4 separate regions of the Mus musculus genome follow, and all the other regions are reported to be linked to region 4. Evidence: microRNA targets listed by miRTarBase, many of them from high-throughput screens and not tested one by one. Region 4 holds a microRNA gene; each other region holds the end of a gene's coding sequence. Distances are from middle to middle.

What was found. The annotated mature microRNA mmu-miR-1942 reads UCAGAUGUCUUCAUCUGGUUG and lies in region 4 at 1,321-1,341, opposite strand. An mRNA with a match to its seed (bases 2 to 7 or 8) in the 3' UTR can be bound and repressed. Matches are read on the target gene's strand: a 7mer-m8 pairs with bases 2 to 8, a 7mer-A1 pairs with bases 2 to 7 and ends in A, and an 8mer does both.
Region 1: miRTarBase lists Rapgef3 as a target of mmu-miR-1942. Seed matches in the 3' UTR shown: 7mer-m8 at 2,504-2,510, 7mer-m8 at 2,406-2,412 and 8mer at 2,297-2,304.
Region 2: miRTarBase lists Dusp2 as a target of mmu-miR-1942. Seed matches in the 3' UTR shown: 8mer at 926-933.
Region 3: miRTarBase lists Arl6ip6 as a target of mmu-miR-1942. Seed matches in the 3' UTR shown: 7mer-m8 at 1,859-1,865.

The regions. Positions count from the first base shown.
Region 1 is chr15:97,742,742-97,746,556 of GRCm38, forward strand. Rapgef3 (Rap guanine nucleotide exchange factor (GEF) 3) reads right to left here. Exons shown (of 28, transcript NM_001177810.1): 28 at 2,029-2,925. The coding sequence ends at 2,807. It overlaps Gm33531 (predicted gene, 33531), which reads left to right. Exons shown (of 4, transcript NR_168677.1): 2 at 753-846; 3 at 2,039-2,127; 4 at 3,085-3,728. Among named protein-coding and RNA genes, the nearest start is that of Gm33531, 3.6 kb to the left of the region's middle.
Region 2 is chr2:127,337,244-127,341,058 of GRCm38, forward strand. It overlaps Dusp2 (dual specificity phosphatase 2), which reads left to right. Exons shown (of 4, transcript NM_010090.2): 3 at 6-225; 4 at 338-1,134. The coding sequence ends at 552. It also overlaps a transcript of Astl not described here. Among named protein-coding and RNA genes, the nearest start is that of Astl, 2.5 kb to the right of the region's middle.
Region 3 is chr2:53,216,811-53,220,625 of GRCm38, forward strand. Arl6ip6 (ADP-ribosylation factor-like 6 interacting protein 6) reads left to right here. Exons shown (of 4, transcript NM_022989.4): 4 at 485-2,411. The coding sequence ends at 578. Among named protein-coding and RNA genes, the nearest start is that of Arl6ip6, 27 kb to the left of the region's middle.
Region 4 is chr15:76,214,301-76,218,115 of GRCm38, forward strand. It overlaps Mir1942 (microRNA 1942), which reads right to left and starts at 1,373; the gene lies at 1,311-1,373. It also overlaps a transcript of Plec not described here.

The DNA of each region.
Region 1 (3,815 bases), 22 Mb from region 4:
GTGCAATGAAACTTCCTTCCGTTCTGCTTCTCCTCACTAGACACACATGCAGACACACAGACACACACAGACACAAACACACAAACACAGAGACATACACACACATACACAAAGACATACACACACACACACACACACACATACACAAAACACACAGATGCACAGACACACATACACACAGAGACATACACAGACACAGACCTACACACACACACACACACACACATACACAAAACACACAGATGCACAGACACACATACACACACACAGAGACATACACAGACACAGACCTACACATACATACAGACACACACATATATCCATAACACACACACACAGAGGCACACAAGCATGCACAGACACACATATACACACAAACGCAGAGACACACGCACAGTCACACACACACTTGGGCCTGGATACATGGTTGCTCAGCTCTTGTCCACACACACTCACACGCCTATGCTCTACCTCTTTAGGTGACAGGTTTTTCAAAGGCTAGCTCTAGGGCTTTCTCCCTTGTCTCAGCAGACCTGTGATCTTGGTCTCCACCACCACCCACCCATACGCACCCTGGGCTTCTAGGGAGCAGGAGCAGGTTCCCCACCCTCTGCCTGAACACCAGGAGCCTGCTGCCACGAGGACTCTGTACTCTGAGCCTCCTGTCTTCCAGCGGTGACCTGGCTCGGACATCCACTCCCCAAGTCTGTGCTCCCTGCCTGTCCAGAGAGTTCTTCTGTCTTTCCCATCAGGCTCAAAGAGGTCCAGCCTGGGGTAGAATGGCTAGGAAGCTGCAGCTTGTCTAAGCTGGAAGACCCACAAGGAGCCCAGACTTCTGATCAGAAGGTAGGTGTGTCCAGCGAGGAGAGGACAACGTCTGTCTCATCGCTGGGCTGGTTTCACCCGAGTCCATGATGGGAGCAGAGCTGAGACTGACAGGCATGGTCTCCACTGCCACACTGACAATGGCTGGGAGGACAAGAATGCTCCAGGGACTCTTTCCTGACTCACGGATGCTTAGGCCTGATTTCATGATTGCTCAGCTTTGGTCTCTTCCATCAGATCTTCCCTCCCTGCCCACGGGCGAGGGAACTGGTTTGGTCATCCCTGGCAGTCAATCCATCCCGAGAGCTGTGTCAGACTCTACTCTGGGAGATGCAGCTTGTCCTCCGGGGCCACACACACAGGACTGGGACAGTCACTCTGGGAAAGGCAACACCTGCTGTCTTGTTTGTCACTTAACGACCAGATATCATACCCATATTACAGATGGACAAACGAAGGCCAAGAAAGACCATTGGTACACCTGGGTTCATTAGACCTGAGGTGTAAAGTCCTTGCCAACAGCTTGGATCTCTCCTGGGAGCCCGCTGACATGACGTCAGAGTGAAGTGTCTGGCAGTGTGGAGGCCAGGGGGGGAGGAGTGTGTCAAGTCTGAGCCTTGCCACTGCACCCGTAGGACAAGAACAGGGCTGCCCCAGCTGCCTCCGGCCCGCTGCTGTGAGCAGACCTCCTCAGACACCTGAGAGTCCTGCTGCCTGGAGTTTACACAGGGTCATCCTAGAGGCTGGGAGCTTTCAGATCAGATGCGTCTAGAGCTGCCAGGCTCCCAGCACGGAGAGTAGAGAGGGCAGCAGTCCTCTGTGGAGGTTCTAGGCCTGGATCTGTGTCCAGGCAGGGACTGAAGAGGCCGGGAAAAGAGGGCCTTAACCTCCACAGCCCATGTGGGATGGGGGGGGGGGGCGTTGGGGGGGCAGGACACTCATCGCCAAGGTGAAGAAATTGGTTAGGCCTCCCAGTCTTCTGTCTAGTCTCTTCTCTCACCCCCTTGAGGCCCCTGCTCAGCATCTGACACCTAACAGGATCAGGAGCTATCTGCTGGGAGGGGAAAATAGAGGATGTTAGCTGCAGCTGGACTCTCATAGTGTCTCTCTCCGTCTCTGTGTATGTGTGTGTGTGTATATATATATATATATATATATATATATATATATATATATATATATATATGGTTTTTTTTTTCTTTTGTTTTTTCAGAGAGCTGAGGGTCCCCCAAGTGCCTGGGACAACACTGGAGCCCATCTGAGCAACCGCTAGCCTCCCTGGAGCCCAGCCCGAGATAGATGGTGGGTGTCTGCTTTTCTGTACCCAGGGAGCAACCTCCTCCACCAGCTTTCCCAGCCACACACCCAGGCGGTAGAACACACACGTATCTTTGTTAATTTATGGAAACAATACAACTCCTCTGAGACCACCGCTCTAGGCAACAGCCCTGCCTACACCCAGCTGTTTATCTCAGATGTGTGGAGAGAAAAGCAGAACTCTCCACCCTCTCCCAGGCAAGGCCCCACCCAGGGCTCTCTCACACACACACACACACACACACACACACACACAAACTGTGCAGATGTGAGCTCACTGGCCCCAGTGAAAACAAGCACGAGGCCTGGCGACCACTGGATGGTACAGCTGCACGTACAGTCGTACAGACTTGCAAACATGCAGATGTACAGACGTGCAGATGCGCAGAAGGCCCGGTGGGAGGGCTCTCTACTGATCCAGAGTCCTGTACCTCCCAGCTCTCCTACCCACGGCATGGCCTCAATGTCCCCCCTTTCCTTGGCCGTGAACAAAGATCTCCATAGCTGACAGTCATCACAGGGACAACTGCCCCGACACTGCCCACTCCAGGGCCTTGAGTCCGCTCTGTGGAGAGCCCTGCCCAGCTGTGGCTGGCCTCTGGACCTCTTGGTTGCACAGGCTCTGGCTTCCTCGGAGAGAGTGCCTGCTCCAGCCAGTCCTTCCTCATGGTTCCAGCTCCCGGGAGAGGCGGGACAGTTCCCGCTGGTTGTCAATGACCTTCAGCTGCTGGACATAAGCCCAGGTGCTGGCTGGACTCCGGGTGCTCAGGGACTGCTCAGAACCTGGAGGAAGGGAGAGCCATCAGAGAAAGAGAGAGAGAGGTGCCATGGTCAGGTCACCACGCCTACCTCTCTCTCCGGGGAGCAGCCTCAGCTCTCTCCCCTCCCCTACCTCACATCCTCTCAATCCAAGTCCCCAGACTACTGTCTCTCCCACCACAGAGTCAGGAGGGCAGTGGATGCAAAGTCTGAAGAAAGAAGGTCCCTCCGCCCACCAAGATCTATCTCAGCATAGTACCCCTTCTCTGGGTCAAAAGGAACTAAAACAGACTGGATATGGTGGTGCGCGTTTATAATCCGGGAGCTTCCGAAGCTGAGGCAGGAGGATGGAGAGTTCCAAGCCCTGTTTCAAGAAACAAGAAATGGCCAGGCATGGTGGTGCGTGCCTTGACTCCAGCACCCAAGAGGTGGAGGCATGGGGATCTTTAGGAGTTTGGAGCTAGCCTGGGCTACATAATGAGTTCCAGGCCAGCAAAGCCAAAAAGTAAAGCAAACAAAAGCTGGAGGGATAGCTCAGGGCATGAACTGCTTGTCCTAATAACTTGTCTGTAATTCCCATGCTGAAACAGTCAGATCGCTGGGGCCAGTCTGACAGCCCAGGACACTTGTTAAGTTCCTGGCCAGTGAGAGCTTGTCTCACAAAGAAGAGAGAGCGGCTGCCCAAGGATGACCCCCCCCCCCCAAGGCTGAGGCTGTTCTCTGCCCACCGGCCCTGGTGTGTCCTCATATGCAAATGGCTGGCATCCAACCTCACACATACGCACAGGTGTATACACACATCAATAAAAATAAAACTTGAAAAAAAAGTTCCTTGTGATACGCGTGACGCATGCAGGTGTGAGATAAGGCTATTTTTTTTTTTTTAATGAAAACACAGGAAATAGCTCAGGCTT
Region 2 (3,815 bases), not on the chromosome of region 4:
TCCAGGGTGGTCCTGTGGAAATCTTGCCCTACCTGTACTTGGGCAGCTGCAACCACTCCTCAGATCTTCAGGGCCTGCAGGCCTGCGGCATCACAGCAGTTCTCAATGTCTCTGCCAGCTGCCCCAACCACTTTGAGGGTCTTTTCCATTACAAGAGCATTCCAGTAGAAGATAACCAGATGGTGGAGATAAGTGCCTGGTTCCAGGAGGCTATCAGCTTCATAGGTAGGGGAGCCTCAGCCCAGGGTTCTGTGGGAACTGTAGGGGAGAAGGTACAGGCACCTGATTCCTCTGTCCACCTTCCTGTCTGACTCTCGGCTCCACATTTCTTTTTCAGACTCGGTGAAGAATAGTGGGGGCCGGGTGCTGGTGCACTGCCAAGCTGGCATCTCTCGCTCAGCCACCATCTGCCTGGCATACCTGATTCAGAGCCACCGGGTACGGCTGGACGAGGCCTTTGACTTTGTTAAGCAACGTCGGGGAGTCATCTCCCCCAACTTCAGTTTCATGGGGCAGCTGCTACAGCTGGAGACCCAGGTGCTGTGTCACTGAGGCAAAGCCCAGCCTGGCCCCACCCACAGCTCTGGCTTTGACTGACTCCTGGGGGAAGCTGCTGTGGCCCAGCTCCTCCCTCCTCATCTTGCCGTCCCACTGGGGTGCTAGGAAATCCAGGATGACGGCTGCTCTGATATGGTGCTCTTCTGAGGTGGCATAAGGGCTGGCCCTTATTTGCTCTCCCTCCTTCGACTTGCAGAAATTAATTTAATTAATTAATTTACTATATTAAAGCCCTTGGTCACCCAAGGGCTCAGAAAACAAGCTGTGACAAGCAGAAACCATGTCTAGGGGTGTGCAGCCCTTGACCCAAAGCTTAAGCCTTGTGCTCCCAGGGGAGCCAGGAAGTGACGTGTGTGTCATGTTACGGACATCTGACTTTTGTGTGTGTGTGTGTGGGCATCTCGCTGTAATTGGTGCTGAAAAGTTATTTGTGTTCAACTGACATTTAACGCTCTCTCCCCAACTTCCTCCCGGCCCTGTGGGCCAGGGAGGGGCGTTGGAAACAGCACTTTATATTTATATAGAACATTGAGGTTGTGTCAATAAAAACAGTGTTTTGTTTAAAAAAGAGCAGTACCACATTGTCTGGTCTCAAGTCTGTGCCTGCGATGGCTGAGTGGTCTGCCTTGGCCTGGGCTGGCCTGGGCTGGCCTGGGCTGGCCTGGGCTGGCCTGGGCTGGGCTCTTTCCCATACAGGTTCTAGCCTGTGGTTGAACTGGGAGGGTTAGGAAGGCCGAGGTCGGCCTCAGCCTCACAGCGGCTCTGTGCATCCCTGATCAGACCCCACATTTACCTAGTGTGTGGTGTGCAGGTATGTGTTGACTGAGGGCATTTAGATCAGAGGGCACTGGCTCCCTGGATGAAGGGTGCATAACCTACCCCTGGCGCCCATTTTCTCTGCTCTGGGTAAAGCACTCAAGAGCTAGGGTTGTTCTGAGCCTTCCTCAGGAATTGTATCAGTTTTTTTTTTTTAATGAATTATTTGGAAATCTCACATCAAGCACCCTGATTGTGCTCACCTCCCAGTTTTCCCACATCTGCTCCCTCCCCTCCCCAGGATGTTCTGCCCCCCCAAAAGGAAAAGGTAAGTCCATTTTGTTTTGTCCATATATTCACTGGAACATGGTTGAATTCTTAGTGGCCCACAGGGAGGAGGAGGAGGAGTCTTTCTTAGCCTTTCTCCATACCAGAAGCCATCAACTGAGGAAGAGCCAGTGAGGGGCGGGGCCAGCTCTCCCACACCCACACCCACAGACTTTAACGTGTTTTCAGGCAGCCTGCCTTAGTGGTAACCACAGGCATCAAGTGGGCTGGCCATATCAGAGCCACTAACCTATTCATGGCTCACAGCAGCTGTCCCTGGGCAGGTGCTACAACATGGCCTCAGGTGGCTACAAATGCCGCTCGCAACAACATGCTTCCACCTGAGCCCCCCTCCCCACCCACCCCAGGCAGCAAAGCCCAGGGACGTCAAATCATTAGTCAGAGGCACAGACTTGCATCTCCATCCTGGGGCAGCAACATGGACTATAGATACCAACATGACTTCCTGAACCTTTAAGGTGGTCTAATCCAGAAAGCAAACCTTTCTTCATCTTGGGCTTCCATGGTTGCTCAGAGCTAGCGGGATTTCAAGGCCAGGCAGAAGGTCTGGGGAGCTGAGTCTGCATCAGCATAAGCTCCAGGCTGCCATTCTGCCAACCTTCCTGGGCAATGACAGCGTGTCCACCAGCCCTCTCTCATCCGTCACCACCATCAATCACATCTCCAGTTTCGCCTTTCTCCGTAGCACACACACACTGCTTAGTTTTTCTATGTTCCCCACTATTCATCTTATATCTGTTTATTGTACTGGTGCCCGCCTGTACCAGGCCATGAGGCAGGCAACCCTACCAGTTTCTATTGGGACCTGTGGACTTGATGCCCAGCTCAGGGTGGACACCTGCGTCCCAGAGTCATTAACCTTTCATTATCTTATACATAGCATGGCTGGTTGCTGGCGGTCCCATTAGACCTATTCCTTGCCCTTCTGTGTTTCTAACATCTTACCTGCCTAGCAAATGGCCTTTCTTTCTTTCCTCTCCTCCCTCTCTTCCTTCCTTTCCTTTTTTAAGACAGTCTTACTATGTGGCCTTGATTTGTCTGGAACTGAATATGTAGACCAAATTGACCTCAAACTCACAAGAGATCCACCTACCTTTGCCTCCCAAATACTGTGTATGAGATTTTCCACTAATGTGATGATAATGATTTTAGTAAGCACATTTAAGTAGTTAGGTCATTGTTTTAAATATATTTTTGAGATGGCCCCTCACTATGTAGCCCAGGCTAATTTTCAATCGGTTCTACGGGATTTCAGGTGTGAACCACCATGACAACTCATGTCGTCGTTTTCTTCTTCTTCTTCTTCTTCTTCTTCTTCTTCTTCTTCTTCTTCTTCTTCTTCTTCTTCTTCTTCTTCTTCTTCTTCTGTTTTTCAAGACAGGGTTTCTCTGTGTAGCCCTGGCTGTACTGGAACTCACTTTGTAGACCAAGCTGGCCTCAAACTCAGAAATCCTCCTGCCTCTGCCTCCCACATCCTGGGATTAAAGGGGTGCGCCACCACCCCTGGCATCTTCTTTTTTAATGGGAAAAAAATGGAGTGTTTAAGGTACTTGACAAGCTTTGACATATATAAGCACTGTGAAGGAATGAGTCTGCTGGTCAAGATAATTAGCATATCCATCGGATTCCTGGAAACCAGTCTAGATTCTGCTCAGGCATCAGCAGCATCTGCTTTTATTATAGCCCCTCTGTCTGGCTCTAGCTTCTACTTCTTGAGAGATGTTTGCCCCAGGCTCAGCAAGAATGCCAACAGGTCCTTGTGGAGCTCTGGCTTTCCTTTACTGAACATGGGGGTGGACTTGGTATGTTCCAGGCTGTCCATCCAGGCCGGGTCTCTGGATGGCAGGATGTAAAGGAAGAAAGTCTGGGAGCTTTGTATTTTGAATTAGTGAAATGGGAAGGGGCCCTGGCCGATCATGTCAGTGGGCAGTGGCATTGGAAGGACCACAGTCATATGAGCGTCTAAGAGTTCAAAAGTGTCCCCTCTGCAGTGGGGGGCGTCTCTGGGTGCTGATGATGCTGGTGTTCAGTGTGAAGTTTCTCAGAGTCTTGCAACCTGTGTACTTTCCTATATGGCTTCTGAAATAAAAGCTTATAGCTGGGCATAGTGACACATGCCTTTAATCCCAGCACTCAGGAGGTAGACACAGGCA
Region 3 (3,815 bases), not on the chromosome of region 4:
GGCAATAATGAGCCACCCAGTTTGGGTGCTGGGCAGTCCACTGGAGGAGCAGGAAGCTCTTTTAACCACTGACCCACCTTTTCAGTCCCTACGAAGACTTTTAAAAGAGAATTTAAGATGGATAATCCTGTACAAATCCTGCAAGTGTCCAGTATTTTTTAACTTATACACTAATGTATAAAACAGGACAACTAGCCAGGCAATGGTGGTGCACACCTTTAGTCCCAGCACTTGGGAGGCAGAGGCAGGTGGATTTCTGTTTGAGGCCAGCCTGGTCTACCCAGGACAGCCAGGGCTACACAGAGAAACACTGTCTGGGGGGGGTGGGGGGGGGAGGTGGGGGGGGGATATGACAACTCATTGTGATATCTTAAGTATTTTAGTATTTACTAGTTTTATTTTAGATCTTACTCGTTTTCTCATACCAAATTACATGTTCTTTTTTTCCCTTTTCTTAATTTGTGCTCTTTCCCTTTTTCACTAGGAAACTGACTGGACATTCTTTCCACATGGGCTACAGCATGGCAATTTTGAATGGTATTGTCGCTGCTCTCACTGTGGCATGGTGCCTCATGTAAACCTACACTAGAGCAACGTTGTTGGTGAAAGTCATGATGGTTTTTGAAGTAGCAGAAACGAAATTGCTGACTCAGAAGACTTTGAAATGTGATCAGATACTTACTATCATCATTATGGAAGACCTTATAGAGGGCACTTCTTCAATGTATAAGATGTTTACTTCATCTTTTTACTTTTGTTTATGTAGTTTATCAGTTACAGAAAATATTTGAATTGAAATCAAACTTGGAAACTTGAATACATGACATTGCCTACCTTTCTATGTATATTCCATTTTTTACTAACAGATACTGATATTTGTGGTTGAGGTAGAAATATTTATATACTATATTAGGAAAACAGTACTGAGGCCAAGTGTGTTAGCAAGACCTTCAAGCCCAGCATTTTGGAGACAGAAGCAGGTTCTGTGGGTTTGAGGCTAGCCTGTAGCTGCACAATGAGATCATTTCATAAAAAAGAAAACAATTCCTATTCTTTGACATTTTGTAGAAGCTACATAAATCAGAGTTTTTGATAATCAGTAGAATGCATATGTGCATTTATATTTTTGTGGAGTGTACCTGGGTGTCTTATAGATTTTTATAATACTGCATTTGTGTTTTAAATGATTACATTTATACCTATATGGCTGTAAATTTTATTTCTTAGCTGGTGTAGACCTGTCCTTTAGTATTTTGTCTCTTCAAAAAGAATTAAAGTACATTGACTTGAGTTTAAGATTAAGTAAATATATTTTTTAACAAAAACATACTACAAATTCAGGGTAAACTATTTGTTGTTATAATGTTAAGAAATTTGAGACTTTTAGCCATTTCTATTTTCTACAATTGAAAGTATTTATTTTGATGTATATATTAGGGTAGCAAACTTGTACTATTTCATTTTTAGTAAATGAAAACCTAAAAATTTTGTATGTAGAAATGTTTGAACTTGTTTATTTTTAATCTCGAGTATTTAGTTGCCAAAGTAGAAAAGGTATTTTGATACTCTGTATGTGTACATATAATTTAACTGTAATATGTATGTTGTAATATATTATAGATACTGTACTTGTCATATCAAGGGTTCTTGTTGTTATTAATTAAGCTTTAAATGTTTCTCTGTCTTGCTTGCTATTTAAGTATGTAGAAAGTCACCTCAATCTTAGAAAGTTGTGTGGTTTACACAGCTGTTTGTCCTGGCTGTAGGAAAATTTAGATTAGGAAAACATTGTGTAGTCAGTGTGTATTCTAGCTAAGTGGCAAGTGAGTGTGTGTGTGTGTGTGTGTGTGTGTGTGTTACATCTGCAGTCCTACTGTTGTTACTACACAAGGGTTCTAAAAGTCTCAACATTTTCTCTATATTCTCCAAAAAAGGTCATTTCCATTTAATTGGAAATGGCTAATAATGTTCCAATTAAAGTGAGTGATGAAGAGGGACATAGATAGATAGATTCTTACTAAATGCCAGTCTCATGACTTAATAGCCCTACTAATTATGCTTTTTAAAATGATTGTTCTTGTTGTTTATTGGATTTTTCATACAATATATTTTGACTTTATTCTTTTTACACGATTCCCTACCCCCAACTCTTTCTATATCATCTCCTTTCCCTCCACCTCCCACCCATCCAACTTCATGTTCTATCTTTCAGGGGGAAAAAGAAATCTGTGTATTTGAATTAGTGTTTTTTTTTTAATTCTCAGGCATCTTACATTCTTTCTTCTACCTTTCCCTTAAAGGACTCTTTATTACAAAGATATGTTCAAATTATAAAATTATTTTATCTCCTCTCTACCTGTGTAAAGCCCCATTCCCATTATCACCCCAATTAAAATGGCTCCTTCCACTTCTTTGTGTGTAATGGCAAGGTTAAAGTTATTATAGTCGATTTTTCAGACACAAGGTAGCCACCTCACTTATAATGTAGATACACAGGACATATAATACACTATTTCTCTAGAACACTATGTCTTATGAACTAGCAGTCTCCTTTGGAATATATCCCTTCATTCTCCACACCTACTGTTAGGTTTCAGTATAAACCATGTATGAGGAAAGTGATGGCCTGAGGTTACTTTTCTTAGACCAAACTCTTTCCTGTTCAGTGACTGCAGTAAAAATAGAGGGGTGTGATTCAAATCAGCCAGTTTCTAGGATTTTTTTTTTTTCAGGTTGATTCTAAGTTCTTAAAACTGGGAGACAGGATCCCATGAAATGCTGGCAACCATGTGAACCAAGCATAGTACAAAAGGATAAAGGTGAGATGAATACTGCTAATGATATTCTCCTGACTCTTGAAAACCTATTGACCACCTGCCATGCTTGAAACTTGGTTACAGTGTTTTGATATATTTGTTTCTGCTGTTTATATAGGCTTTTGTCACTTGCACCACAGAGTCAAGATGGTGTCACCTAACAGAATCATCCAGCTCAATTAGATGTCCCTGTGAGTGTACCTATGTCACTGTGACTGTACCTGTGATTGGTCTCAAAGACTTCAAAGGAGATATTAGTGTCAAGCCAGCTACTGATTTTACTACTTCATCAGGAATTTTGTTCCCAAATTGAGTTAGACATCCTTTAAATGCTACCACAGTTTTGTATTATCAGAAGTTAGTCTCTACTTATATAAGTATTGAATCAGTATTGAATCTAATATTTAGTATATTAGTTTCCCAGTTTTTCTACCTGCTAAATGGAAAAAAATACTAAGCTAAGACATTTCAAACTGAAAACGGTGCAATAATGTCTGTAAGACCTGGTTAAGACACATAATAGAATTTGTAATTTCAAATATATTTATTAAGACATGAGCTGAAACTAATGGAACTAAGAATAAATAGCAGGACTGGGCAAAACTTTCAAGTAAACCTTTATATACATAAAAACCAGAAAGATTGAGAATGCAAGCATGTTATGAATAAGTATAGTATGGAATTTTATGTCTGTATATATATGTGTGTGTGTGTGTTACATGTATATGTATCTGTATATATATACACACATACACACACTATCAAATACTAAAAATGGATTCTTTGAAAAATAGAACCCTGGTTAATTATATTTAAAGTTTCAGTGTATTTTTACATTTCTGTTAACTTTCTTGACATGTTAGTTAGAATCCTATATCTCAAGTAAAACCATCTGACCATGGAAAATAAGACTTAATTGGCATATCTAGTTGCCCAGGACCCAAGAAGATATTCGAAGCTAAAGCATAAAAAACCACAACTAACTAGTCAAGTGCAATG
Region 4 (3,815 bases):
GGGAGGAGGGTGTTTTAAAAACACAAAACAAGAAACAGGTTTGAGTAGAAAAATCATGAAGACCAGAAGTTCAAGGTCATCTCCAGCTCCATGGAGAGTTTTAGGCCCCTCTAGGCTAGCGTCACTGTCTGTCTCGGAAGAAAAAGGAAAAAGTGTGTGTGTGTGTGTGTGTGTGTGTGTGTTTGTGTGTGTGTGTGTCGTCATTTAAATCAAATATCAACAGTAGAGAGTTAACAGTCTTCCTCCAATCCTGTCCCTTTGTGATCCCAAACACAGTGTGAAATATAATCACTTCCTGTTCCTCCGGTTTCCTTATGGTAAAAAAAAAAAATCAAGCAAACACTAATTGGAACTTGATTTTCCGTCTTTTAACGTAAAATCCTACATACATGCTTTGACCCTGGCTTTCCCATCAACCCTGTACCATGGTGGTCCCTCACACGGATCGGTAAAACACATGACCCTTGCTTCCTAAGTAGGCACACAGGAAGGGGGGCTCTTGTTTCCTGCTTGTATACATGTTACATCTGACGGACACCTCCACACATCTGTTTGCCATCTCCTTAACAAGGCTCAGAGGTCCAGACCTCTGGACTTTTACCAACACAGTAACTGCAATTTGGTGTGAAATTTTGAAATTTTTGAAAATCTGAAATGTCAACAATAGTCACAGACATGACAGTGACCCTGACACGAAGCTCCTCACTGTACTAGTCTCCTTTTAAAGTATTTATTTATTTATTTATTTATTTATTATTTATTTATTTATATGCGTGTGCTGTACAGTGGAAGTCAGAAGACTTGCCCCCTCCTTCTACCATGTGGGTCCTGGGGATGGATTCAAGCCATCAGGCTCAGGAGTGCGTGCCTTTACCATCTGAGCCATCTCATCTATAGCAGTTTATTTAACAACAACAACAGCAGCAGCAAACAAACAAACAAACAAACAAAAAAAAAAAACAAAAACAACTACTAATAACCTCGATGTTCTAGGGGAGGGAAATGATTTAATCAAAAATGTGTCCACTGCACTGGTCTGAATATGGTTTGTCCCCACGAAAACTCTTGTTGAGGCTTAACTCCTCCAGGTAAAGGGATTGAGGCAGCAGACCTTAAGCGAAGTAATTAGCTGTTTAAGAAGGATTAATGTAGTCTCACAGGGGTGCTGTCCCTCCAGGGACGGGATTAGCTCTCAGAGCAGATTGTTCTCTGTGCGGCTGGATCTTCCCAGGATCTCTCTTCCACAGCTATTAGCTCCCCATGTGCTGCTATTTACCAGGCTCTACTGCAGCCCAAAGCCCCTCCCTCCTTACAAGAGGCCAACCAGATGAAGACATCTGAGGTTAGATGTCTAACATTAAATAGGCCTCTTCTCTTTATTCAAATATCCAGTCTCACCAGGCAATGTTGACACATGACTTTAATCCCAGCACTTGGGAAGCAAGGCCAGCCTGATCTACAGAGAGAGTTCTAGGACAGCCAGGGCCACACAGAGAAAACATGTCTCAGGGGGAAAAAAATTTACAAATATGGGCCAGGTGTACACCAGTTAGGTGTAGTGGTACATGTCTTTAATCCCAGCATTTGGGAGGCAGATAAACGAAGTTCAAAGCTAGCCTGGTCTAACATAGTGAGTTCAAGGATAGCTAGGGTTATGTAGAGAAACCGTTTCAAAAAACTAAGTTTCAAAAGCCTGTGCTGGATAGATGGCTCAGCAGTTAAGAGCACTTGTTGCTCTGGGAACTGAACTTTGGATCCCCAATTCCAAGGGATATGACAGAGAAACTCAGTCTCAAAAAAAAGAAAGAAAGAAAGAGAGAGAGAGAGAGAAAGAAAGAGAAATATATATATATATATATATATATATTCTAAAATTTACAGGACACCTTTGTAGGGAAATTTTTGGAGTTTTTGTTTCTTTAAAGACACAGAAATATTATAAGACTATGTTTTCGTTTTAATCCCAGGTGTGGAATATGGGGCTGCCTCAGATTGTCCACAGCAGCTGACTATGATTTGCCTCATGCTCTAGCAGAGGCACGACTTTGCCAGCTGCAGGTAGTTTCTGTAATTGTGTGGTGCCACATTTGGAATTCTGGGACTTTTTAGAGTGTATATAAATGCTAGGGCCCCAAGAGGTGAGGCGTTATTGGTGGGTTGTTGTGTGTTGTTGGTCATGGTTTGTTAAGTAGATGTGCTCAAAGAAGAAACAACAAGAAGAAATTAGATATACTGATGGCTACCTAATCAGCAAGAAGTAGTCTGAGATAATGTTCTCTTTCTGACTCCGGACTTTATCCAGGATTTCTTTCCTTTCCTCTCTACCTATTTTTCTTTCCTATCTAGTGTTGCGGGGGGTTGAAATGGTGAAAAGGGGGGGGGGGAGTCAAAGAAGAACCCACAAAGTAGCAAAAGACAGCTACACACCTTATGTAGATAAAGCCCTAGTTGACTGGGTTGCAGAGATGGCTTAGTGGTTAATCACATTTACTAATCTTTCAGGGAACCCATGTTCCCAGGACCTACATGGTGGCTCCAGCCATCTAAAACTCCAGTTCAGGAAGAGCTGACACCCTCTTCTGGCCTCCGAGGGCAGCAAGCATGCAAGAGCTGCACACACATACATAGGGTAAAACACTCATACATTAAAAAAATAAAATTCCTAGTGACTAAAAAATAGATACAACGGTCTAAAGTACTTCCTAACATTACATCATAAAGCCACAAGGAAAACGCAGTAATAAATGTAGGGCATAAAGAAAACATGCTTAAGACCTACATCAATCAAATATTAGAGGGCAGTCTGAAGCTGGAATTAAGTGGTGGGCTCCCAAAACATGTCTGTGCCCTTGAAATTCATAAATGTGACCTTCCTTGGAGACAGATCTCTAATTAAGAATCCATTCTGAATTATTTAGGTGGTCCGAAGTCTAAGGAAGAGTGTCTTTATGAGAGAGGGGGAAAGACACAGAGTCTGAGACTGGGAGGAGACAGAATATGCCAAGGAACAGGGCAGCTGGAGGGATGGCAGATTCTTCCAGAATGCCTCCAGGGAGGACCCCACCAATACTTGGGTGTTGGGCTTCTAGCCTGCTGTGGTCTCAAAGGACCAAGGAAATTGATGTGGATAATATCATGAGATATGGAGTGCTGCTGTCACAAATATCTGAAAATGCACACCTGGAGGGAGGGTGTGGTGGCACACACCTTTAGTCTAGCATTTAGGAAGCAGAGGCAGGCAGATCTGAGTTTGAATGCAGCAGGGATACAACCAGTACATAGCTAGTCCCAGGTCAGCAAGGGATGTATAGTTGAGACCCTGTCTCAACAAAACAAAACAAACAATTCAAAATGTGGAAATGGCTTAAGATTTGGTAATGGAAACTGCAGGATTTTGAGGCATATGAGAGAAAAAGCCCAGAACTGCCTGACTAACTGAAATTTAGAAAGATGGAGGAGGGAATGTGATGTAGTGGCACGGCACGGCCCCACCCCAGCTAGTTTAAAGGCCAAGACAGGAAGATAACTTCAACCAAGGAGCAATTAAGGTATCCTGGGTAATACAGTGAGACCAACATTTAAGAGAAAGAGCGGGCGGGGTTGGGGATAATAAGCTTAGAGAGATTGCTGGTGACATCACAGGAAGAAATGGAGGGCTGGGGGCATATGTGAGTTGGGAAAATGCTTGCCTAGCTTGCAACATCCCACAAACCAGGCAGAGGGGTGCGGTAGCATGTTTAGTCCAGCACTGGGGAGTTAGAGGGAGGAGAAATAGAACGTCAAAATCACATCTGGCTATATAATGAGTTTGAGGC